3 linked regions of the Tamandua tetradactyla genome follow. The protein of the gene in region 1 purifies or fractionates together with the protein of each later gene. This does not show direct contact. Links are inferred from orthologs where the notes say so. Each region holds a gene or a part of one and is shown on either strand. Other genes may lie near its edges.

Region 1 (7,516 bases):
AAATAGAAAATCATAGATAAAGTCTGATGCTCCTTTTATCTACCTTGTCAACAGATGAGAGGAACATATGGAATAAAAATAAATAATGGGGGGAAAAAAGAAAATCATAGATAAAATCATAGACAAAAAATAGAAAATCATAGTTTTTTCTTTTATTATAACAATAAAAGAATATGAAGTAGCAACAGCTCTCCACTGAGCTCTATGAATTTTGAATAAATAAACCTGTTTAACATTAAAAATAAAACTCCCATTGTTGTTCACTCAGGTGATCCCAGGAGTTTCCCCAGGTAGCCAAAGGGTCTGGGAGAGGGATAACCTTCTTCAGCAGCATGGCCCCTGGAAAGGGACTGAGGACAGGGGAGGCCACCTCAACCCACAGGTGGATATGCCAAACAGTACAGGTTTGGCTCCATTCTGTGGCAATGAGGCCTTAGTTGCTGTGCTGAGCTTGTGGGGTGTTGCTTCTATGACCTAGGGCATAATGGGCATTTGGGAACACACGTCACAGGGTTAAGAAACTCTGTTTCCAGGAGAACTACCTATGTGGTCAGCTGTTGCCACTTGAATGGTGTATTAGAGTGTCTTGCATTGGAAGACATAGGGAAACTTATGGCCATCACAGGTGTTTGTTTTACTTTACAGTTGCCAGAATGCAATATGCCAGAGATGGAATGGTTTTTAAAATGGGGGATTTATTAAGTTGCAATTTTACCATTCTAGGGCCATGAAAATGCCCAAATTAAGGCAGCCAGGGAAAGATACCTTGGTTCAAGAAACTGATGATATTCCGGTTTTCTCTCTCAGCTGTAAAGGCACATGGTGACATCTGTTCACTTTCTCTCCAGGCTTCTTGTTTCATGAACTTCCTTGGGGATGTGTTCCTTCTTCATCTCTAAAGGTCACTGGCTGCATGGGCTGTAAAGCTTTTTCCAAAATGGTGCCCTCTTAAAGGGCTCCAGTAAAGAACTCCACCTTGAATGGGTGGAGACACATCTCCATGGAAGTCATCTAATCAAAACTTACCGCCCACAATTGGGTGGGTCACGTCTTCATGGGAACAGTAAAAAAGATCCCGCCCAGCAATATTGAATGAGGATTAAAGATCATGGCTTTTCTGGGGTACATGACAGTTTCAAACCCGCACAGTGGTCCACAGATTACAGGAAGTATGAGAGGAGGTTGCTAAAGCTCCTACAGTGATGCTACTAACAAAAATGCCTGTTGTATTACAATTTGGGTAGATTCTAGAGCCTTTTGTTATAGGGGGCTCCATTCAAGATGGGTTAATTTGCAAGTATCAGCAGAAACAGGATTTAGTAAAGTTTGGGAATGAGGCTATACTTCTGGGGGTTCCTCTCTATTCTACTCATACTTAGAGAGAGAACCTCAAAGCAGTATCAGCAAGGTTAGGGGCCTCCTCCATGGCGATGGTTGAATTAACAACTTGGCTGTGCCACAGGGTGTCAAGGGTGCTTTTGCTTATAGTCCTGAGGAGCAGGGTCTTTTTTGACAACAGAGCCATAGTCATTGGTGGTAGCAGAAAAAATATTTTGTAAGGTGCTAGTGTGTCATTTGCTTTATGGAGTGTAACTTAAGTATGCAGCATTGTAACTGCTCTTCATCCACAGTAGTGACTAGCCAGATGATCTAAACATGCAGAATATTGGACATTTGTCTGAACGATCTAAGAACAGGAGTCAACACCTGTTTGAACACACAACCAATGGTCAGAGGGTGAGTCCTTCCCCCTCCCCCATTCCTCAAGAACCACCCCATCTCCTCAGACCTACAGCCACCTGCTTCTCAGTCCTGCCCCAGCCTTAAGGAAGTTTCTAGGGGTGTTTACTTGGCTCAGAACTGGTACAGACACCCCCTTGAACTCAGCTTCCTGGTTGTGCCAGCAGCAGCAACTTGTCTGACTCAGTGGCTGACAGTCACTCTATCCCAACACCCCCACCTATTACTGCCCTCTGGCCAGTCCTCCAGCCCTGCACCCTCAGCAGTACCCATACTATTATGCTTACATTATTAACTTAAGTAAATAGTTCACATTGGGGTTCACTCTTCGTATTGTACAGTTCTATGGGTTATTAAAATTAAAAAGTAAATTCCCATTTTAACCTCTTTTAAGTACAGAATTCAGTGGCATTAATTATAGTCACAATGTTGTACTACCATCACCACCACCCATTACCAAAATTTTTTTATCTCCCTAAGCAGAAACTCTGTACCAATTAAGTATTAACTCCCCATTCTGCACCGCATCCCTGCTGCTGGAAACCTGTATTCTAATTTCTGGCTCTATGAATTTGTATATTATATTTACTTCATATAAATGAGATCATACAATATCTGTCCTTTTATGTATGCCTTATTTCATTCGACATGAGGAAGAGTAGACAACATTTGGAAGGCCTTCTAGCTCAGGAAAAACAGAATAAGCATAAGACTAGTTCAGAAATATGTTTGCTATATCATGAATTATGAGACCCATTCTGCTTAAAATGGATGATGATGAGGACAGATGTGGTGCATAGAACTATTTTAGGTAATAAAGAACAGTGGACTTAGAGCTGAATTATTTGGGTTCTTCTTCCAGCTCAAACCCAAGATTTGCTGTGGGATTTCAGGCACAGCTGTTCCCTCAGCTTCATCATTCATATTATGAGAGGATCCAAATAGATTCTTGCCAGTTCCATAACTTTCTGCAGTAATTGGGAATAACTCCAGTTGCTTTGTATTGTAAGGAGCCTGAGAGTTCCTGCTGTGGCCTGCCTTCGTGGAATCTGAAGCATGATGTACTGGCTTTCCTGGGCTGCCCTCTTACTTTGACTCATTTTCCAGGTGGCTTTGGTTACTTAGCACCCTGATACAGTATTTTATTGCATGTAGATTCATTTCTTGGCCTTGTGAGGCCCTTTGATCCCTACCTGATTCTGTTGCCACCCTACCCTAACAAGGTCACTTATCTGTTCATATGGTCCAGACTGGCAGGATGTAACAAGGTATGGATGGAATGGAGGTAATGGATGTAAAAACACTTGGTTGCCCCACTGTGTGGCTGGCACTAGTAGGTATTCATATATATATATATATATATATATATATATATCATTTGGCAAATATGGTTTTCATTTAAAATTATGAGTTAGGTAGTGTCTTTTTCACCTGTGATCCCTTAGTACCTGGTATGTTACTGTTAAACATTTCCCTGTTATTTTATAAAATGTTCACTTTAAGGCCGTTTACTTATCTGTAAATAGGCAATGATAACAGTCCTTCTCACACAGGGCTGTGGGCACAAAGTTAGGGTGTAATATTAGCCATTATTATCATTACATATGTGTGTCCCCATCAAGTAAGAGAACTGAGCAAGACTGTTTTTCTTTTGCCCAAGCTCCCAGATTCGGTCCTCACTAGCTCTTACTAGCTTCCTCCCCTGCCCTGAATACCTTGACAGTAATCTTGAAGCTGAGGGGCTGCAGAAAAAAACTGAAACTGCTGGGGGTGGGGGGGAAGGAAAAGACCAGTTGACAACTTCAGACCCAAAGTAGGCTACCTCCCTCCACGTTCCCCTCCCCATCCGTTCTTCAAACAGATGACCAGTTTGTCCACTGCCCTCGCCCTGACTATAAAACTTAAATCAGCCCCCTGCCCTCCTCGGAATTGAGTTTTTCTCTCTCTTCCCTATGATGGCAGCTGTGGATAAAGTCATCCTTCCTCATTTAACATGGTCCCGTGCAATTTTTTCTTTGGCAGAACTGACATTTATCTCTTATTCATAGACGACCTGGCTTATGGTAGGCTTTGGGTGAGTGGGTGAAAGGCCCCACGGGAAGCGCTCCAGCGAAAACAAAGGCAAGAACAAGCACGGTAGGTAGATGTTAGAAAAGAGCTCAAAAGAATAACTACTTGGGTCTGTATGAAGCTCTTGCTTTCAAAGGGTTTTATAGAGCATGATGTTGGGAATGTCTGCGGGCCTAGAAGTCGAGGTTTGGTAGTAGCCTATGAAATTGTAAAAACGTTGAGCTGGACAAGATTCTGATTAAAGGTGGCTCTCCAGAAAGGTGGTGCAACGGACGTAGTATTGATTTCAATCTGGCCAGTGGCTGCATTTAAAACAGATACAAAGTAAGTAAGTCCCCTTTAAGGGGTAAGAAGCTCTCTCCTGAATGGTGGGACGGTGATAGTGCAGCCTGTTCCAGGGAGGAGTGGGGTCCGGCCTGGTCCCTGATTCCTAGGGCCCTACACGAAATCTCCGGGCCTTTTTCCCAGGAGTCCGTACAGGTCCTTCCCACAGCTCCTGCCTTCTTCTCGGTTGGCCCTTCCCATGCTTCTCGCGCACTTGCTGGAGGCCATGCAGCTCCCCCTGGTTGGGCGAATCTTCGCAGGGCAAATGGCGGCCCCTTTCTGCTGGCCAATAAATGCACAGACTCACCAGTGAGGGGCGGGCCAGCAGGTGATTGCGAGCCAATCACGTGTCCCCGCTGGCTGGCGGCTGGGGAGACGCGGGGTTGCCGGCTCGTTCCCTCAAGATGGCGGCCGCTAAGGACTCTTGTGGCTTTGGGGAAGTGAGCTTAGGGAACGGGCGGCGACTCCACCTGGGAATCCCCGAGGCCGTTTTCGTGGTAAGAGGCACGCTGGGCCCGGACTCCTTGGCCCAGGCCGGAGACCAAGACCTACTGCACGGCTCCTGGCCCCCCCCACCCTGGTCTTGGCCCTTGGACCAGGTCGCGGAGGGAATGGTGTAGGGAGGGCTTGGCCCACTCTCCTTCCCGTCGGCTGGCCGGGCTGGGTTCCGCTGGGGCCCAGCGGGAGGAAGCGGGCCCGTGAAGAGAAGGGGATGCGGGAGCGCGGGGCGGGTGAGCCGGGGAGCGGGGGCCGACGTCGCGGGGAAGTGAGGACGGGGCCCCGGGGTCGCGCGACCCGAGGGACCGCCGCCCCGCAGCCCCGCAGCCCCGCAGCCCCCGGGTCCGTTCCCTGCAGCCTTCGGGAACCTGGAAAAGGAGCGGCGGCGGCGGCGGCGAGCGCATCGCTCCCCTTACTGGTTGGAGAGACATAAGTGGATAATTAGAATACAAGGGATCGAAAGCAGTGGGTAGAACAGCTGTGTTTAGGTACGAAGGTAAGGAAATAGTCTGTGGAAGGAAAGCAGTGGTTGGTTGCCTCTTGGGGAATGGAGGAAGACACTGAAGGGAAGGTAAGGTAGGGTGAGATGCTCAAGTCCTTGTGTGTCCGACTAAGGAATTGAGACTTTTTCCAGCAGCCGATGGACTGTCATTAAAAGGTTTCTCAGTTAAAGCCACGACCTGTGTGGAGTTGAGAGAGGAGGCAGGGGAAACCAATTTGGAGGCCTCACCCAAGTGGAAGACCAACCCATGTCCAAACAAAGAGAAGCAAGTGGGCGCTAGCCACCCTGCTCTTCAAAAAGTTTCTTCAGGAATAGTATTTGAAAACTACTTGAATAGTGAGACAAAACCTCTAACTGGGCATTCCGGCCAGCTTTACCTGTCTTTCCCCATTTGCTTCTGGCTGGGCCACTATAAAAGCGTTAATAGAGTTTTCTAAACCTCTTGTATCTATATCGCCATATCTGTACCTTTTGCTAATTTTGCCTCATATCCTTCAGAAGACCCATTTCTTTTATTAGCCACCTTTAGACCCACTTTTTATTTTAGAATATAAATTAGGATTCTCATTTTGCAGATGGTGAAACTGAGTAACAGAGCATTTGAGTAACTTGCTCCAGGTCACAGTGACAGGGTGTAAAGTTAGGTAGTTAGAGTCTGAATTTGAGTAATCTGAGACTCTTGAGCCTTAGCATACTTGCTGCTTGCAGGAAAGCAACATAGTTCTCTTTTTCATTGCTATTTCTCTTGATCCTAGCACAGTGCCTGTCACAGTATAAGCTCATAAATTATTGTTGAATTAAATTTTAATAGATTTAATTAGTGTTGAATTAAATTTTCAATACTACATTCATGGTAGTCAGAGATGGCTTCAAAAATCTAATTAAGGAGGATAACTTTGAGGCCTTTATATATGGTCTTTTTTCCCTAAAATTATGGGTTTTTTTTCCCCTAGACTTTAAAATTTCTACCAACATGACAAATAAGTAATCCAAAGTCTACATAATCATTTTTATGTTCCCAGACTAACCGGAATAGCAAGGTATTGTGGAAAGAACACTGGCTTCTAAATAGACCAAGATTTCAATCTTTACTCTCCAATTGCTGTTTAGCCTTGAGCATATTATTTTGCCGCTTTGAGCCTCAACTGAAATAGGGATAACAGTACTTATAGAGTTATGAGAAACGGAATGTCCTTTCAGTATTGGAAATATAGTAAGTGCTTAAGAGATGTTAAGTTTCTAAGATAGGAGGCAGTATACCATAGTGGTTAGAAGTCAGACCTTGCCCTTTCTCCACTCCTACTGGTGTAAGAATTTGTTTTCTTTCTCTCTCTGCTTGAAATGTCCCTTTCTCATTGTTCATCTGAGAAACTCTTCGTCTTTCAACGTCTATTTCAAATGCTACTCTCTGTAGTTTTTCCTCACCCCTATGCCAAGACAGAATTTTTGTCACTTTCATTAGTGTTGTCATGGTACATTGCACACTTACTAGGTGTCATGTATTCTTCTAAACATTTTAAACATACAAACTCATCCTCTTTGAAGAAAAGGTACTTTTATTCATTTTATAAATGAAGTTAAATAATTTCCCCTTGGTCAGTACAGCTAGTAGGTGGTGATGCTGGGATTCAGACCAAGCAGCCGTGTATTGTAAGCAAAATCTTATGCTGCTATGGTTAATTCTCCTTGCTAGTTTCTAAGCTCCTATCCTAATCACATATACAATGTGCTAAAAACTTTAATTTTTTTCGATTTCATATGGTAACCCTTCTAAGATGGTATCAACTCAATTTAAATGCCACGCTCAGCCATTCACTCTTAGCCTCATCTTTTCAGTTTCTTTTTGTCTCTAGCTTGATTTTTACTCCTTGGCTATATTTCTCTTCCTTTTTTCATCATTCCTTATTTCAGCTAAATTATTCCCTTGTAGCTAATATGCATGGATAAGAATAATGATGTGGAGAGCCCAGAAACCATAAGGTAATCAAATTTACTTATAAGGAAGAGAAGTTCTTTAAAGTACTGGAAGACTTTTTTAGAATCTTTTTCAGGTTTCTGTGTATTTTCATCGAGTTCCTGATCCTTACCTAATTAATTAGGTTTTTTTCAAGGACCAGCATTTAGTATACATTAAAACCATGACTGTTGTGTTTTACTGCTTTTCTTTTTGCTTAATTATTCCTGTTACAAAGATTGTTTTGTCTTTTTGGATTACTTAGTATGCAAGGAGGCTTTTGTGGCTTGCAGTCTGTTCAGCACAATAGGCAAGATGTTTGATTGTTGGTAATTCTCATATTTAATACTAAAGCCACATGGGGAAATGTATAAAGCAAGCAAGGTCATCTTTCTCTCCCTATTTGTAAATACAACTAAAAAGAGGAA
Region 2 (7,917 bases), on another chromosome or scaffold:
AAAAACATAAGAGGGGAAAACTCTCAAAAGACATACCCCCAAATGGTAAGAATAGTTATATTCAGACAGTAGGATTATGAGCAACTTATTTCCTTTTCCTTTCTTTATATTTATTCTTATATTTTCTACTATGGACATGTTTTATATTATGTAATAGGGCAAAAAGATCAACAGTATAACATATATCCTTCTCTGGGTCCTTCACTGCTTACCATATATTCCCAAGTTTTTTGCCATGCATTCCAAGTCTTCTAAGACCTCCGCCCAACTTACTTCTTTAGTATTAAGGAGCACATGTGTTTCTAATTTATACCTTGTGATTTAGCAAAAGTGACCAGTGGTAATTCATGTCAATTGACTTTTTACCCCAACTCTCCTAAATCCTCTGAAATGCAAATGTCAGGAGGATAATATAACCTACTTCAAATGGCAACATTAAATAACAGAAGATAAAACAAGTGAAGTGCCTAGCACAATGTATTACTTGCTTTCATTTTGTTTGTAAGGGACATGTGGCTCAAACTTGCTGTAGAAATAAATCTATTTTTTACCCAGTATTCTCACTGGAACAAAGACAGAGAATGTTAACAAGGAGCAGCTTCAGAACTCAACATCACAACTCCTCAGTCTCCACTGAGAAATAAACTCATCTTTTCCCCCAAACTTGTCTGTCCTTTTACATTCCCTATTACATTACTATCCAACAAAGACATCTTGAGAGACAGCTAAAAAACAAAGATAATCAAGTAGCATTTATTGAGCACATATTATGTTCTAATCACTGTTCAAGGATACTTTATGTGCATCGTCTTACATAGTTTGCAAAATACAGGGATAAGGTAGGTACTATTATTATGTTTTTACAGATGGGGAAGACTAAGAAGTAACTCATTGGTGGTCATATCTATAGTAAAGAGTAGAAATGGGATTCAAACTCAGGTCTGTCTGACCCAGTGCACTTGTTTTTATGCTCTTAGCTATACCCACCATACCAAAGTTCCCTTTCCCACCTACCTCCCAAATTCCACAACCTCCTGCTTAGTCATGGGTTCCTCCCCTAGATGTCCCAAAAGACGGACTGTGTGGCACACTGTAAATTTGTACTGTTCAGTTTGTCTTTTCTCATTTGAGAAAACAAGGACTATTTTGTTTATGTTTCCCTGCACCCAGCAAAATTCCTGGCACATCAGAGTCCCTCAAAATATATTAGGTTTTTTGCACACCGATATTCAAGGTGGCATTATTCACAATTGCCAAAATATGGAAGCAATCCAAGTGTCCATCAATTGATGAATGAATAAATAAAATGCGGTATATTATATATAATGGAACATTATCCAGCAGTAAAAAGGAATGAAGTCCTGATACATGTGACAACATGGATGAACCTTGAAGACATCATGTTGAGTGAAATAAGCCAGATACAAAAAGACAAATATTGTATGATCTCACTGTTTTGAAACAATTAGAATAAGCAAAGTCATAGAGTCAGAATCTAGAATATAGGTTACCAGGGATGGGTGGGGATAGGGAATAGGAAGTTAAGGCTTAAAATGTACAGGGTTCCTACTTGAAATGATGGAAATGTTTTGGTAATGGATGGTGGTGATGGTAGCAGAACATTGTGAATGCAATTAACAGCAATGAAATACATATCCTAATGTGATTAAAAGGGGAAACGTTAGATTGCACATATGTTACCAGTAAAAATTTAAAACAAAAATCCATGGAATTACACTACACAGTGAACCCTGAGTTAAACTATGGACTTTAATAGTATAATTATTAAAACCTGCTATTATCCATTGTAATATATGTTCCACACCAGTGCAAGGTGTCCACGGTGGGGTGGTGTATGGGAATTCTTTATTTCATGCCAACTTTTCTGTAAACCCATAATTTCTCTCATTAAAAAAAAAGTATTTCATTCCTTCTTCCCTTTCTCTTTTCCCCTCCCCCAAATCCCACAGCACTTTACACCTCTCTTCAGACATTGGTCTTCTGTCTCATATAACTTTTGCATGTTTTATTTTCCTTGCCAGGCTATGAGTTCTTGGATGGCAGGAGCAGTTATAAAAATCTTTATACAGACATCTTTGCCTGTTGTACACCGTCAACAAATAACTAATGAATGAACTTGTACTTAAAATAGCCAAGTTTAAATTGCAACCTTATGCCTTTGATTAATTCATTCTATAGTGTGCACGTTGTTGTTTGTTTTCATTTCTACTGTGAATGTTTCTTCTCATACTGATTAAACACTAGTTCCACTATTATCAAACTACAGTTCCTAGTTACAGAAGGCTCTCTGGCTAATTTATCAAACATTTCCCAATGTTAGGTACTGGGAGAAATGCAAATTCCTATCAGAAAGGGTTTCTGGTCTATCAGGAAATTCAATCTAGTAAAGACTCCAGAATCAAAATAGTATTGAACACTAAACTGTTCGAATATGTGTCACGTGGCTCTGCAGAGTGACGGCGACTGTCAACGTGGTTCCAGGGTCACAAAACAGACTACGAAAGCAGCCCGTTAACTAAGCTCCTGCGATTCGTTATGACTGCCTTGCCCGACCATACCCTGTTTGGGGGTGCAAAGGAGAGGTGGGGCAATTCCTTGACGACCTATCTTCCCTCAGATCTGTACATCCTCCCAGGCCCTACAAACCAGGGCTTTCCCTTACTCCGGTTTTACCTACCATCCCAGACAATGTCGAGCTTTCACCAAGCCACCCGCCCACTCTCTCCTCCGGAGCTCACCTAGCTTCTCCAAGGACCCTCCCCTCTTTGAGTGGCCATGAGGATTGGAGCAAAGGCCTGTACAAGCAACAGACCCCTCCCTTTCGCGCACTGACTCCGGGCTCTGCGGGAGATACTCTTCTTGGCATTCCCGGATTCTCACCTGCTCAGCGGACACCGCCCCCTTCCCGGCGCCGGTCCCGCAGCTCTTGCCGGAACGACCGCTGTTGTCCGCCATCTTCGCCGCCTGCCGGTTTCCGGCCTGCGCAGTTCAGCCTCCGTCTGACGCCACATCCGGTCTCGATGTTACCGCCCACTCGTCCCTGGCTTCTCTAGCTCTTGGCGGCTCTTCGGTTCGGCTCTTGCGAATGGTTTTGGCCGTATCTTCATGTAGGACCTACTCCCCATCCTGCCGGCCGCGGTGAATTCCACCTGCGGTGCTTTAACTTGTGTAACAGAGACGCTGTCCCCTGGCAGAGGCGGGAAAGGAGTGGCTGTCTGGAGGCTGGGAGCGCGGATTGGGATACGGGTTCTTGTGCCCTCTGCCCCCGTGGGGTGGCCGAGGACAGGGGAGGGTGAATTTTCCCCTAGATTGTCCCGGTGTAAGGGGGGCAAATATACTTTAAGCCAATAAAGCTGTGCAGATGCAGAATCAAGAAGAGAGGCCTGGGAAAACCAAGAAAGTTTCCCGGAGGTGACTTTTGAACTGTGGAGACGTTTAGCACGGGAAAAGGGTTCAATTTAATGTTAGATCACTGGAAGACTGGAAGTCGAGATATTCAGGCACTGAACAGCTTTCCGTCCTCTATCTTCCCACCTTATGATCTCTTCCTGTAGCCCATAATTACTTAAAGTGTGTTTTGGAGACTTATTTTTACTGGCAGGACCCTGATCCACCTCGCAGTATGAAGAGAAGTTAGAAAACTCTAGGAAGTTATTGCTTGAGGGTGGGGTTGGTGTCCTGATTTCTCACCTTTCTCAGGTTGGGCTTCATCATCAGGCCTAACCAGCTCCTGTCCCTTCTTCTGTGTCCTGGACTCCGGATACCTCGACTCTCAGTACTTTGTACCCAGCCCAGGTAACAAGTTTTGTTGTGTTCTGATTGTCTAACATATTGAAAAATGCTTGTTATATGAATGGTTGGTGGGAGACAGTGGTGTGCCAGCCATCCACAGAACATTTGCTTGGCAAGCCCCACTAGGCCTAAGTCAGTGTATCCTCTAAGAGCAGATTCAAAAGGAAATTAGGGTGGGCCACGGTGGCTCAGCAGGCACAGTTCTTGCTTGCCATGCTGGAGACTCGGGTTCGATTCCTGGTGCCTGCCCATACATTAAAAAAAAAGGAAATTAGCTTTCCTGACTCCCCATTTGAGTCCCTTATCCTTAAACTAGGGTTTCCTCATACTGAGAAATTTGATAATCCTGCCTGTGTCATTCACAGGCCCAGAGCCATGGCCATCTCCTCTTCCTCCTGGGAACTGCCTCTGGTGGCTGTGTGTCAGGTAACATCAACACCAGACAAGCAACAGAACTTTAAAATGTGTGCTGAGCTGGTTCGAGAGGCTGCCAGACTGGGTGCTTGCCTGGCTTTCCTGCCTGAGGCATTTGACTTCATTGCACGGGACCCTGCAGAGACACTACGCCTGTCTGAGCCACTGGGTGGGAACCTTGTGGGAGAATATACCCAGCTTGCCAGGTATCAGGGAAAGGGGGAGGGAGAGGTAAAATCATTGGGCAGTGTTCCTGGTTTAGGTTAAGAGGATAGAGCCTTGAGAGAGTTTTCAATGTCCCCCTCTCTCCAGGGAATGTGGACTCTGGCTGTCCTTGGGTGGTTTTCATGAGCGTGGCCAAGACTGGGAGCAGACTCAGAAAATCTACAATTGTCATGTGCTTCTGAACAACAAGGGTGAGACTTTACAACTGTTTAGCCTACCTTTCCCAGGCTCGTCTTCCTAAACTCAAGTCCCTAGAATTGTGTGTCTCAACAGTGCTTCCTTGGCCTAGGGTTTTAGAGGTGTTTGTACTTCTGTTTCTAGTCTATAAGTCATCTCCTCTTGGGAGGGGAGGAGCTAAACTGGGCTCCTAGCACATCAGCACTGAGTATCCTTCTCCCTCTTACTCTAGGGTCAGTGGTAGCCACTTACAGAAAGACACATCTGTGTGATGTAGAGATTCCAGGGCAGGGGCCCATGCATGAGAGTAACTCTACCACACCTGGACCCAGCCTTGAGTCACCTATCAGTACACCAGCAGGCAAGGTGGGAGTTGTGAAAGGATGAGGGTGGGAGAGGCACAAGAGGGAGGGGAATAGAAATATTTTGAAGTGGGTGGTAGTAGAGGATATAAAGCTCTAAGGAAAGGGGCAAGGCAAGGGGGCTTAAGCAGGTTACTTTCTATTACAGATTGGTCTAGCTATCTGCTATGACCTGCGGTTCCCTGAACTCTCCCTGGCATTGGCTCAGGCTGGAGCAGAAATACTTACCTACCCTTCAGCTTTTGGATCTGTTACAGGCCCAGCCCACTGGGAGGTAAGAGGACACCTCTTTGAAACTTAAGGGCCTTTCCTTAACCTTCTCTTCCCCTTCCTACTTGGTAGGAAGTCATTTCCTAGATTGTTGCCTGGCTCTCATGTGTTACAAAATAGTAAACATAGTAAACCATTCCTTGGCAATAATCAGAATGGTAACAGTGGGTACATCATACACTTGGTCTGTAACATCCATCTCCTGTCACTTCTTCATTAGCAACTGCATGTAGTTAAGTAAACACACATCTCCTCATCCTCCAGGTGCTGCTGCGAGCCCGTGCCATTGAAACCCAGTGCTATGTAGTGGCAGCAGCACAATGTGGGCGCCACCATGAGACAAGATCAAGTTATGGCCACAGCATGGTGGTGGATCCCTGGGGAACAGTGGTGGCACGCTGCTCTGAGGGGCCAGGTCTCTGTCTTGCCCGAATTGACCTCAACTATCTGCGACAGTTACGCCAACACCTGCCTGTCTTCCAGCACCGCAGGCCTGACCTCTATGGCAATCTGGGTCACCCATCATCTTAAGCCTTTTGACTTTTGTGAGTTGAGACTCCCATTATGAGCTGGTAGTGCCATGACTTTTGAGCAGGACCCAGGTGCAGCTCCCCTCACTCGGAGAACCTTGACTCTTGATGGGACACAGGCTCAGCTTCTTGGGAAAGAAGAAACTTTCACCTGAGCTCAGATTTCAGTTTCAGAAAGGTGGAATTTTATATAGCCACTGTTTATTTCATGAAAACTGGAGTAACTCTGAGGGCTGAGCAGCACTGGCATTGAGAAAAATATAATAATCATAAAGTCTGTGTTTGGATATCTCCTTTGGAAATTGCAAAGGGAGGTGGTATTGCATCTGCTGGTCTAGGCTCCAGTTCTAGGTTTCCTGGCTCATTCAGCATGCCTCCCTATGTAAATAAAAGTGCAACACTCAGTGCATGTCCCAGCCCCATTCTCCCAAGGGGTTAGAGAATGGGGAAGAAAAAAGAAAAGAGTTGATACTGAATTACTTCACTTGGTGATGCCCTTTGCCCAAGCCAGAAGAAAGCAAAGGGGAAAAGGGCTGCAGGGTACATTATTTATTTTTACTTGAACATGGGAGGAAAATGTCACACTCCCCCTTCCCCTTTTTAGGGGGAGTGTACCTTTTCGACTCAGCAACGTCTTCTCCACCTATCCTGTGTATGTATGTGTGAACACACACACACACTACAGTTGGAAGAGTGACTAGGCTGACCCAGTTCTCTCTTACCTATTACTCTCTTAAAGAGGATTTTCTAAACGGGGAAAAAATGAGCCACACCAGGCAAAGTTTTCAAGCCATGAATGGAGGAAAGGAGGCAGAGAGGAGCAGCACCAGATGCCAGGAGAGACTGGAAAGGGCCACAGCTTCTTTGTTTTATAAAAATTCTGTAATTTGGGAGAGGATGGTGATTAATTTCCAAATACACTTGAGACCCACCTTCCACATAGCTCCCTTACTCACAGCCCTTTGGTTTTGCAGACAAAATTTAAGAGCCCTCATAAAGCCAGAAGTATTGATAACCCCTCATTGCACCCAAAAGCAGTGTTCACGTCAATCTCTTATGAAGACTCTGTTCTATAGACTTTTCTTTTCCCTACACATTTGTCTTACGGCTCAGTGGTAAGGTAGCTGTAGAGACACAAATTAGGGGTATTTGGAAAAGGGAAACAAAGGGGAAGCCCAAGCACACGGGTGCAGGGAGGGGTGGGGACACCACTTCCACTTTCCTTTGTCTTTACCTTAAAAAAAAAAAAAAAAAAGGCAGGGGGTGTGATTGGAAGGGTAAAGAACAAACCCCAGAACAGTATGTAAGCTCCAGAGGTGGATGGGAACAGTCCCCACAGAGGTGAGATGGGGAAAGGTCAGGGCAATGCTTGCAGCATCAAGTTCCTCAGGAGTTTCTGTCGGCCCAGCTCATAGTCCTCCTCATCCACATTCACCAGAAGCTTGATGGCTTCGTGGCCCACAGCCTGCTTGAGGGAGTCTGTGATGAAGACACCTTTAAGTGCCTCTAGTAACGAGCCATTGATATAGTCGCGCCAGAATGCGTCGAGGTAGGTGAGCTCAGAGAACTTGATGTCACAGATGATGGAGCCCAGGTCCCGGGACTTGAGGATGGTATTGGCCTGGTTAAAGCGCTCAAACTGGCGCTCAAGTGGGTCCTGCTTGTTAGAGAAGACATTGCCCTGCAGAGCAGTCTCATGCTGGCAGTATTCAGCCCGAACTCGGAGTCTGATGTCTGAGGAAGAGAAGTTACAGGGAAAAAGAGATTTCAATCCAAGTTTGAAATGTTGAACAGCAAAGTAGCAAAATGGTCTATCATCTGCCAGCTTCTCTACCTCTTCCCCAGGATTTCTTCTGAAATCCTTGCCTGAATGTAGGCGGTTCCCTTACATGGGACATGCCTAGTCAGCATTATTCCCTCATTGACATGAAGCACCTTCCAGCCCCTGCCTAATGGGGGATATTTTATAACTTAACAAGCACAAGTTATTTTAATACTCTATCATGACTTTCTTCATCCTCCAATCAAGATCCGTTTAATCAAGTATTAACTAAAAAGAGTTGAAATATACTCTGCCACAAAGATAGAGGGAATATTACTTGCAGATATGATGCCATTCAACTTTC
Region 3 (7,388 bases), on another chromosome or scaffold:
CTAAAAGTGAAATGTATTACAGATTATTTGAGTATCTCACTGTGCATGGCCCTTTTTGTTAGCAGCCGTGAGAGACTCTAAGAAGTACAAGACATGGTCCCTGGTCACAGTGAGCAGTTAGGGCAAGGGAGAGAGTACCTGAACCCAAATAACCAGGGATGGCTTCTTGAAGATTTATTTTGAGTTGTCTTGAGTGATGGATTGGGATTAAATGCAGAAAATAGGAAAGGGAATGCCTAGTAACAGCTGAAATGTTTCTGAGTATGTTCTCCGTGTCAGGGGTGATTGTCTGTGTGCTGGCCTTGGCCACCCTCCAGCCTGGAACTGTGGGGAACACCCTCCTGCTGACCCGGCTGGAAAAAGATAATTCTCCAGTCACTGTGCAGATCCCCACTGCCCAAAACAAGGTAGGTTTCCAGGACCAGGGTGCAAAGTAGGGCTGTGGGGGGCTTCTGGTTAAGCTGCTCACATTCTGTGGCTGGGGGATGGAGAGATGGCATTTATGTGACCAGCAGAGATCTTACAACCCCATGTCCCAAAGCTTCCTTTGAGTTCAGCCCTGAATGAGTTTGATGCCATCCAGAAGGCACAGAAAGAGAACAGCAGCTGTACTGACAAGCGAGAATGGTGGACAGGGCGGCTGGAACTGGACCACAGGATGGAGGTTTGTGTTCCTAGGACAAGCTGAGGTCACACCTGCCCTAGGAATGACCCAGGGGATGCTAATGTCTTCTCTGCCAGGGGTCCCAAGTCAGTGCTGAGCTACTGTGAGTCCTTTCTGAAAGTATAAAGCATGAATTTAAAAATTGCATGACTTTAATCAAGAGGCCAGAACTTGAAGAACTTATGGCAATGGAATGTTTAAAGACACACAGAAGATGAAGGCTGTAAGCCTAAGTATCAGCTGCCTGGCAGCAGCTCTCCTGGCTCACGTGTTCACAAATTTGTCAAAAAAAAAAAAAGATTGTCTATAATAAACAGTCTTATCTGTAGCCTCCCACAGGCCCACCAAATGAAAAATGTTTCTAGCTTCTTGCCTTTTCAACTGGCAGAAAGAAGTATAGAACAAATATCCATGGTGGAAAACCTATTTCCTCATTTCCAGAAAGAAACTTGTCTTCCTTCCTCTCTCTTCTCCTGTACTCAGGTTCTCATCACTTCCCTAGAGAAGGATGTGTTGGGCTGCTGGAGAGGGCTGTTGCTGCCATCCAGTGAGGACCCTGGCCCTGCCTGTGAGGCCTCCTGCTTACAGGGGTTGCTGCAGGAATGTGGCTGGAAATATCCTGACCCTACCCTGCTAAAAGTGAGTTAGAAAAGCAGGGAAGGGGTAGAAGCAGTAAACTTCATTCTTCTCCACAAGCCCAATAGCCATTTTGACTGGGGCTAGGGTTTACGGCACCCATGAACCTGTGTTCCCCTGCAGGTCATGCTCAGTGGTGCCAGTACCCTCAGCCCTCAGGAAATTCAGGCCCTGGCCTATGGGCTGTGCCCAGCCCACCCCAAGCGAGCCCAAGAACTTCTGATTGAAGCGATAGGACGTCTTCAAGGTCAGACAGTGCCAAACAAGAAGCACCTTGTCTTGGTGCTGGACAAGGTAAGGAGCTAGGAGGGTCAGAGGGCTGTGCCTGATGGGCAGTGGGCACCAACCTACTCCCACACTTATTTTTCCTCCTGTCCATACCTGGTTAAGGACAGTAACATCTGATTGCCTTTTGTGTAGGACCTGCAGAAGCTGCCATGGGAAAGCATGCCCACCCTCCGGGCACTGCCTGTCACCCGGCTGCCCTCCTTGCGCTTTCTGCTCAGCTACTCTGTTATCAAAGAGGTGGGGCTTGGGGGCCTTCCTTCAACTCGAGAGAGCTGAAGGAAGAGAGAGGCAGAGACCTGGAGAGATGGGAGAGGGTCTTAGGAGTGGGTTGGATGTGGAGAGGGGCTGTTGGAGCTTGGGCCTCCTGGTCAGACCAGGGTCCTGATCAACATTATCTACTCTTCAGTCTGGGGCCTCATCCGTGCTCAGCCAAGGGGTGGATCCACGCAACACGTTCTACGTCCTGAACCCTCACAATAACCTGTCAAGCACAGAACAGCAATTTCGAGCCAATTTTAGCAGGTCAGGGAAGGGGCAGGGGTGAGGGCAAGAAGACGGGTGGGGAAGGGTAGAAACAACTTGTAGGGGCAACATGTCCTTGTCTCCACCTTCTACCTAATGTTCCCTCTCCCCTCTTTGCCACATGACCCCTGCCATGCAGTTCCCTATTCTCACTCCTACCTTCTCCCCACAGTGAAGCCGGCTGGAGAGGGGTGGTGGGGGAGGTCCCAAGCCCGGAACAGGTGCAGGCGGCCCTGACTGAGCATGACTTATACATGTGAGTGCTTACACCAGGGAGCGGGGAAAGGGGTAGTCTCAGAGGATGGAACATCATGGTCTGCTTTGGAGCTTTAAAGCCTCTGGCTGACTCAGGATATTTCTGGAGACATGGACAGAGACCTGCTACTGCTAGTTTGAGGCTGACCTCACCTGTTTCTGCCCTAGCTATGCAGGCCATGGGGCTGGTGCCCGCTTCCTAGATGGACAGGCTGTCCTGCGGCTGAGCTGCCGGGCAGTGGCCCTGCTGTTTGGCTGCAGCAGTGCAGCCCTGGCTGTGCATGGAAACCTGGAGGGAGCTGGCATCGTACTCAAGTACATCATGGCCGGCTGGTGAGTCTTGGGTCAGGTGCATCCTAAAGCATTAAAGCTCCTGCTCCTAACCCCAAGTTCTTTCCGAAATCTGAACTCTGAATCTCTCTTGTGACTCACTTTCCTCCCATCCTAGTTTCCTGGCATGCCTGGTTGAGCCCTTTAATGCTTTGCCTCTTCTAACCTCCTCTTGGCACTGTGGGACGAGGGAGTCCCTCCTTGGCTGGATCCTCTCCTCCTCCCACCTCCCAGCAATGTTTACTGTGTATTTGTTTGAGATCCCTTATTATTTTGTATTTCTTCCTTCTCTCTTCCCAGTCCTTTGTTTCTGGGTAACCTCTGGGATGTGACTGACCGTGACATTGACCGCTATACAGAGGCTCTGCTGCAAGGCTGGCTTGGAGCAGGCCCAGGGGCCCCCCTCCTCTACTATGTCAACCAGGCCCGCCAGGCTCCCCGTCTTAAGTATCTTATTGGAGCTGCTCCCGTGGCCTATGGCTTACCTGTCTCCCTGCGGTGACCCCTTGGAGCTATTGTATATCTGGTAGAAGCCAAGTGACTCTGTTACCCCCCAACTTAGATTTTATCCTTAGAATAAATATTTTTAAGTGATTTCAGTGTTTTATATGAAATATTTCCTTTTAACTTAACCTTAATAAAGATATGTCACCTAAATACTGTTTGTGTAGCTCATTTGATAACATTTGTGGACTTCCTGCTTCCTCCCCACTAATCCCCCCCGGCCCCCACCATATGGTACTGTAAGTGCATGGGAACAGCTTTCAGGAGTTCAAATCTGAGAGCACTGGGGATAAAAGGCAAAACCACAGGACAGAGCTGGGCCTGGCTGGGTCTCAGCAGACAAAGCTGAAGGAGAGAGGGGTAATAAAATGCTCTTAGTGGGAACAGAGGCCCAGGGAAAAGTAGGGACCCATTGTGAGCAACTTGGCCAAGTGCCATCACGTCTGTCTTGTCTTTCTCCTCAGGTATCCTGGGTGTGACACTAGCTTGGTGCCTCTGTTATCTTGCCCCCCTTCCAAGTAGATGTCAGTGGCTGCTGTTCCTCTTTCACGTACAGCTGCTACACACTTGTCAGTGCCATGGACTTAAGCAGCAAATTCTGTGGGATTCTGCTCCCTGTGTATTTTATTTATTTATTTATTCATTTGTCTTCTCAACTAGATTGTAAGCTCCTGTGAAGTACAAATTATATCTTACGCTAGTGTATTCCTCACATCTAGTATATGGTAAATACATTTTGTGCTGAACTTGTTAGTTGTAATGGTACCTTCTTACTGTTCTCTCCACCTCTGGACACTCTTCATCTTCATTTGACCAAAGGACCGTTTTCACAGTGCTATGCCCCCTCCCACAGAACTTCACAGGCTTCCTCCTGGCCTCTCAGTTGCCACTCACGTGGATTTTTACCACTCACATGGAGCAGCTTACGCTGCTTGTGGTAATGTCCCGGGTACTTGTCTTATCTTTAAGATTTTTAAGTTCCTTGAGGACAGACGGCAGAAATCTTGCTTGCTACAACTTTACTGTGCTATGCTTGGGATGCTTTGTGAAAGGGATGCGCTCTTACCTTCTCGAATCAAAGGCGAATCTCGGGAATTTCCAGCCCCTCCTTCCTGGGACGGAGGAACATAGAGATATCCGGCGCAGCGAGGCCTCCTGGCGCTACCATCGAGATGCGCAGAGGATGGCTAGAGCGTAAAGCGCCGAGCCGACTTCCCTTTCATTAGCCCTCCTTCTCAATATGGCGCAGTCAGTTAACATCACGGAGTTGAGCCTGCCGCAGCTAGAAATGCTCAAGAATCAGCTGGACCAGGTGGCGACGGACCCCTGAAACACCCTTTTCCCGCCTCACAGCTCCCCTGCCCAGGCGGACTCCTCGCCGCCATTCCTCCCCTGTTTGGGAAACCTCCCTTCCAAGGCGAAACCGCCACCGCATCCCCGGTCCTGTCCCCTCTTCGGCCAGACTCCCCTGACGCTCCAACCCGTTGACCATCTTTCCTGTTCTCTGCAGGAAGTGGAGTTCCTGTCCACGTCCATTGCCCAGCTCAAGGTGGTACAGACCAAGTATGTGGAAGCCAAGGACTGTCTGAACGTGCTGAACAAGAGCAACGAGGGTATGAAGTAGGCGTGCGAGGGCCACACGCAACATAGGGAGTGTGGTTAGCCAGTTTCCCCTCTCTTCCCGCCGCTTCATCCAGTTTTCCTTACCCGAGGCGCGAAAACAATCCATTGCGTATTGTAAGAGCCCTTTGCATGTTCCATACCTAGAGTTGAAATGTACAGAACTTTCCTCTGTTTCTGTTGCCCCTGTTTCGTCCTTTTCATACTGGGTGCTGTACTATGTTGGAGTTCCCTGTAACGTTTTAATGTTGGCGCTGCCAACCTTCCCCAGGTGTTTGTCTTAATTCCTTTCACAGGGAAAGAATTACTTGTCCCATTGACCAGTTCTGTATCCTTTCCACAGGAACTGCTGCCCTGACCTCTCCCATTCACCCCTTCCCCCTCCACAAAGAGGAGGTAATTTTGATTACTTCCGAGTCCCTTTCATTCATGATTCTGAAAACTTCCAGCTCTCTTTTTTAATCTGGGGCTGCCTACCATCCAGCTACTGCCTTGTAAATTACCAAGGGGTGTGTAAAGTTGAGCTGCATTATTTTCCTTTGCTGTTTGAGGATATTAATCTAATATAGGGACAAAACTGGTAGTTTACACTTTTGCTAATAATCTGGATAGACGACATAGCAGTAGAAGAATAGGGTATAGAAACAGTGGTTGGCTCTGTTCCTTTTTCTTTTTCTTTTTTTTTTTTTCCGCATGGAGAGGCACCAGGAATTGAACCCAGGTCTCCAACATGGCAGGCAAGAATTCTGCCACTATTGGCTTTGTTTCTTAATCTTCAATTTCAGCTTAATTGTGGCTTTTTTTCCTAAATTGCCATCTCTGAGAAGCCTGGATTGTGTCCACCTATTAAGTGTTTTTGTTGTATGAACAATTTATGGCAATAGGTAGTCTGAGAACTGACAGGCTAAAAGAGAAACAAAGGAATAGCAGTACAGTAGGGAAAGGTTAAATAATCATTAAATTCATTAGGAACTAGGTAGTACAGGGTTGGAGGTATTAAGGGGAAGTGAGTCTGGGTTTTCACCTTTACTACTCTAGAAAAGTAGGAAAACATCATTGTATCTAATCTTTCTGGAAGAGCTAATGGGAAGAATTTGAGAATTGCTTGTAGGGTGGGAGATGGGGTCAGGGCAAGAGAGTGTGCTAGCATGTGACATTCTCTCCACAAGGAACCACTTTTTCTCTGCCTCTCCCCATTGGAGTTTTTAAGTATAGTTCTAAGGGCTTCTGATTATTCAGAAAAGGTTATATTCAGTCCCTTTGCCTTGAAGCTTTCTAGAGAAGGTGTGCCTTCAAAGGCCAAGCAGACTGACTTACTGGAATTGTGGTTCATACTGGGATAGTTTTTCCCTTAATCCTTGCTTCTCAGATGTACGTCCCTGGTAAGCTACATGATGTGGAACATGTGCTCATCGATGTGGGAACTGGCTACTATGTAGAGAAGGTGAGTTTCTAGAAGCAAATGGGTGCCCTTGTGAGCAAGAAAAGGGAGCTTAGGAGAAGATCTAAGCTGTGATATATGGTGTCTCCTCTTACCTCTCATTTACCTCTGACCTGTGCAGACAGCTGAGGATGCAAAAGACTTCTTCAAGAGGAAGATAGACTTCCTCACCAAGCAGATGGAGAAAATCCAGCCAGCTCTGCAGGAGAAGCATGCTATGAAGCAAGGTAAGCTTGACGTAGGCCATGTTTTGTCCCTTTCTACCTCCATGATTAAGAACATGGATTGCAGTGTGAACCCATAGGGTTTAATCTTGACTGGGTTAAAGCCATATCTTTATTTCTCTTCCTTTGGTGTTTTGGTGTGTTATTCTCTAGCTTTTGTGTACTATCTGTAGATTTCTGGGTTGGGTGCCTAGGATGGAAATCATGTCCGCTCTTACAGAGGTCTTATTTAATGGAGATGGAGTAGGGGATAAGATAATGTAAATGAGTATACAGGAAAGAAACATAGCACTAAGTAAGTACTAGTGATTGCTACCTTAGCTGCATGTTAGAATCACCTGGGCCTGCTCCACACCAACTAAATCAATCTCTGGGACCTTGTTCCTTAGGCATCAGTGTTTTTTAAAAGCACCCCAGTTACACAACCAGGATTGAGAACCCCTGTTCTAAACGCAAAAATCTTTTCCACGTTATATCTTGCAGTTAAGTTTGGCTCATTTAATACCATAATTTGTTCATTTTAGCACATTGACACATTGTAGGCTATAAGTTTGTACCTAGTGTGTCTGTCCCCCTATCACTGGTTAAAAATTGTATTAACAAACTGTAGCTGGTTGTCTCCCTTTGCTTTTCTTAACTCTAGGTCCTCTCCTTCCTTTAGCACTGGCCAGTGTCTGAATCTTCCTTTTTCTTCCCCAGCTGTCATGGAGATGATGAGCCAAAAGATTCAGCAGCTCACAGCCCTGGGAGCAACACAGGCTACTGCCAAGGCCTGAGCTTGTTGCAGAAATGGGGTTAGAGGGCACCCTGCTTCAGGGGCCTGGACTTCGTAGGAGTGGCTTTTTGGTGTGGGGAAGATAAGGGCCTTGTGTTTAATGCTAATAAATGTCATTTGGGCACAGTG

Evidence for each region. The genes of interacting proteins can lie anywhere in the genome.
Region 2: the proteins of VBP1 (region 1) and PFDN2 fractionate together in Homo sapiens (co-fractionation; 8 studies listed by BioGRID and IntAct, counting the BioPlex papers as one, with this or other methods). This does not show direct contact. The link is inferred for Tamandua tetradactyla from reciprocal best matches to the Homo sapiens genes VBP1 and PFDN2.
Region 3: the proteins of VBP1 (region 1) and PFDN5 purify together in Homo sapiens (affinity purification with mass spectrometry; 7 studies listed by BioGRID and IntAct, counting the BioPlex papers as one, with this or other methods). This does not show direct contact. The link is inferred for Tamandua tetradactyla from reciprocal best matches to the Homo sapiens genes VBP1 and PFDN5.

What each region holds. Positions count from the first base shown.
Region 1 is NC_135353.1:904,400-911,915, reverse strand, and holds the start of VBP1 (prefoldin subunit 3), read left to right. Parts: upstream 1-4,499; 5' UTR 4,500-4,538; coding exon 4,539-4,631; intron 4,632-7,516. UniProt on the Homo sapiens protein: Binds specifically to cytosolic chaperonin (c-CPN) and transfers target proteins to it. Binds to nascent polypeptide chain and promotes folding in an environment in which there are many competing pathways for nonnative proteins.
Region 2 is NC_135330.1:14,265,207-14,273,123, forward strand, and holds the start of PFDN2 (prefoldin subunit 2), read right to left. Parts: upstream 3,010-7,917; 5' UTR 2,977-3,009; coding exon 2,902-2,976; intron 1-2,901. Other genes in the region: NIT1 (deaminated glutathione amidase), read left to right, coding at 3,107-3,159, 3,721-3,816, 4,179-4,433, 4,540-4,643, 4,862-4,995, 5,140-5,265, 5,526-5,792; DEDD (death effector domain-containing protein), read right to left, coding at 7,149-7,525. UniProt on the Homo sapiens protein: Binds specifically to cytosolic chaperonin (c-CPN) and transfers target proteins to it. Binds to nascent polypeptide chain and promotes folding in an environment in which there are many competing pathways for nonnative proteins.
Region 3 is NC_135333.1:114,655,973-114,663,360, forward strand, and holds PFDN5 (prefoldin subunit 5), read left to right. Parts: upstream 1-4,379; 5' UTR 4,380-4,439; coding exon 4,440-4,511; intron 4,512-4,709; coding exon 4,710-4,812; intron 4,813-5,115; coding exon 5,116-5,147; intron 5,148-6,188; coding exon 6,189-6,263; intron 6,264-6,381; coding exon 6,382-6,487; intron 6,488-7,183; coding exon 7,184-7,260; 3' UTR 7,261-7,386; downstream 7,387-7,388. Other genes in the region: ESPL1 (separin), read left to right, coding at 280-407, 542-664, 1,148-1,303, 1,424-1,594, 1,721-1,825, 1,995-2,110, 2,283-2,366, 2,534-2,698 and 1 more. UniProt on the Homo sapiens protein: Binds specifically to cytosolic chaperonin (c-CPN) and transfers target proteins to it. Binds to nascent polypeptide chain and promotes folding in an environment in which there are many competing pathways for nonnative proteins.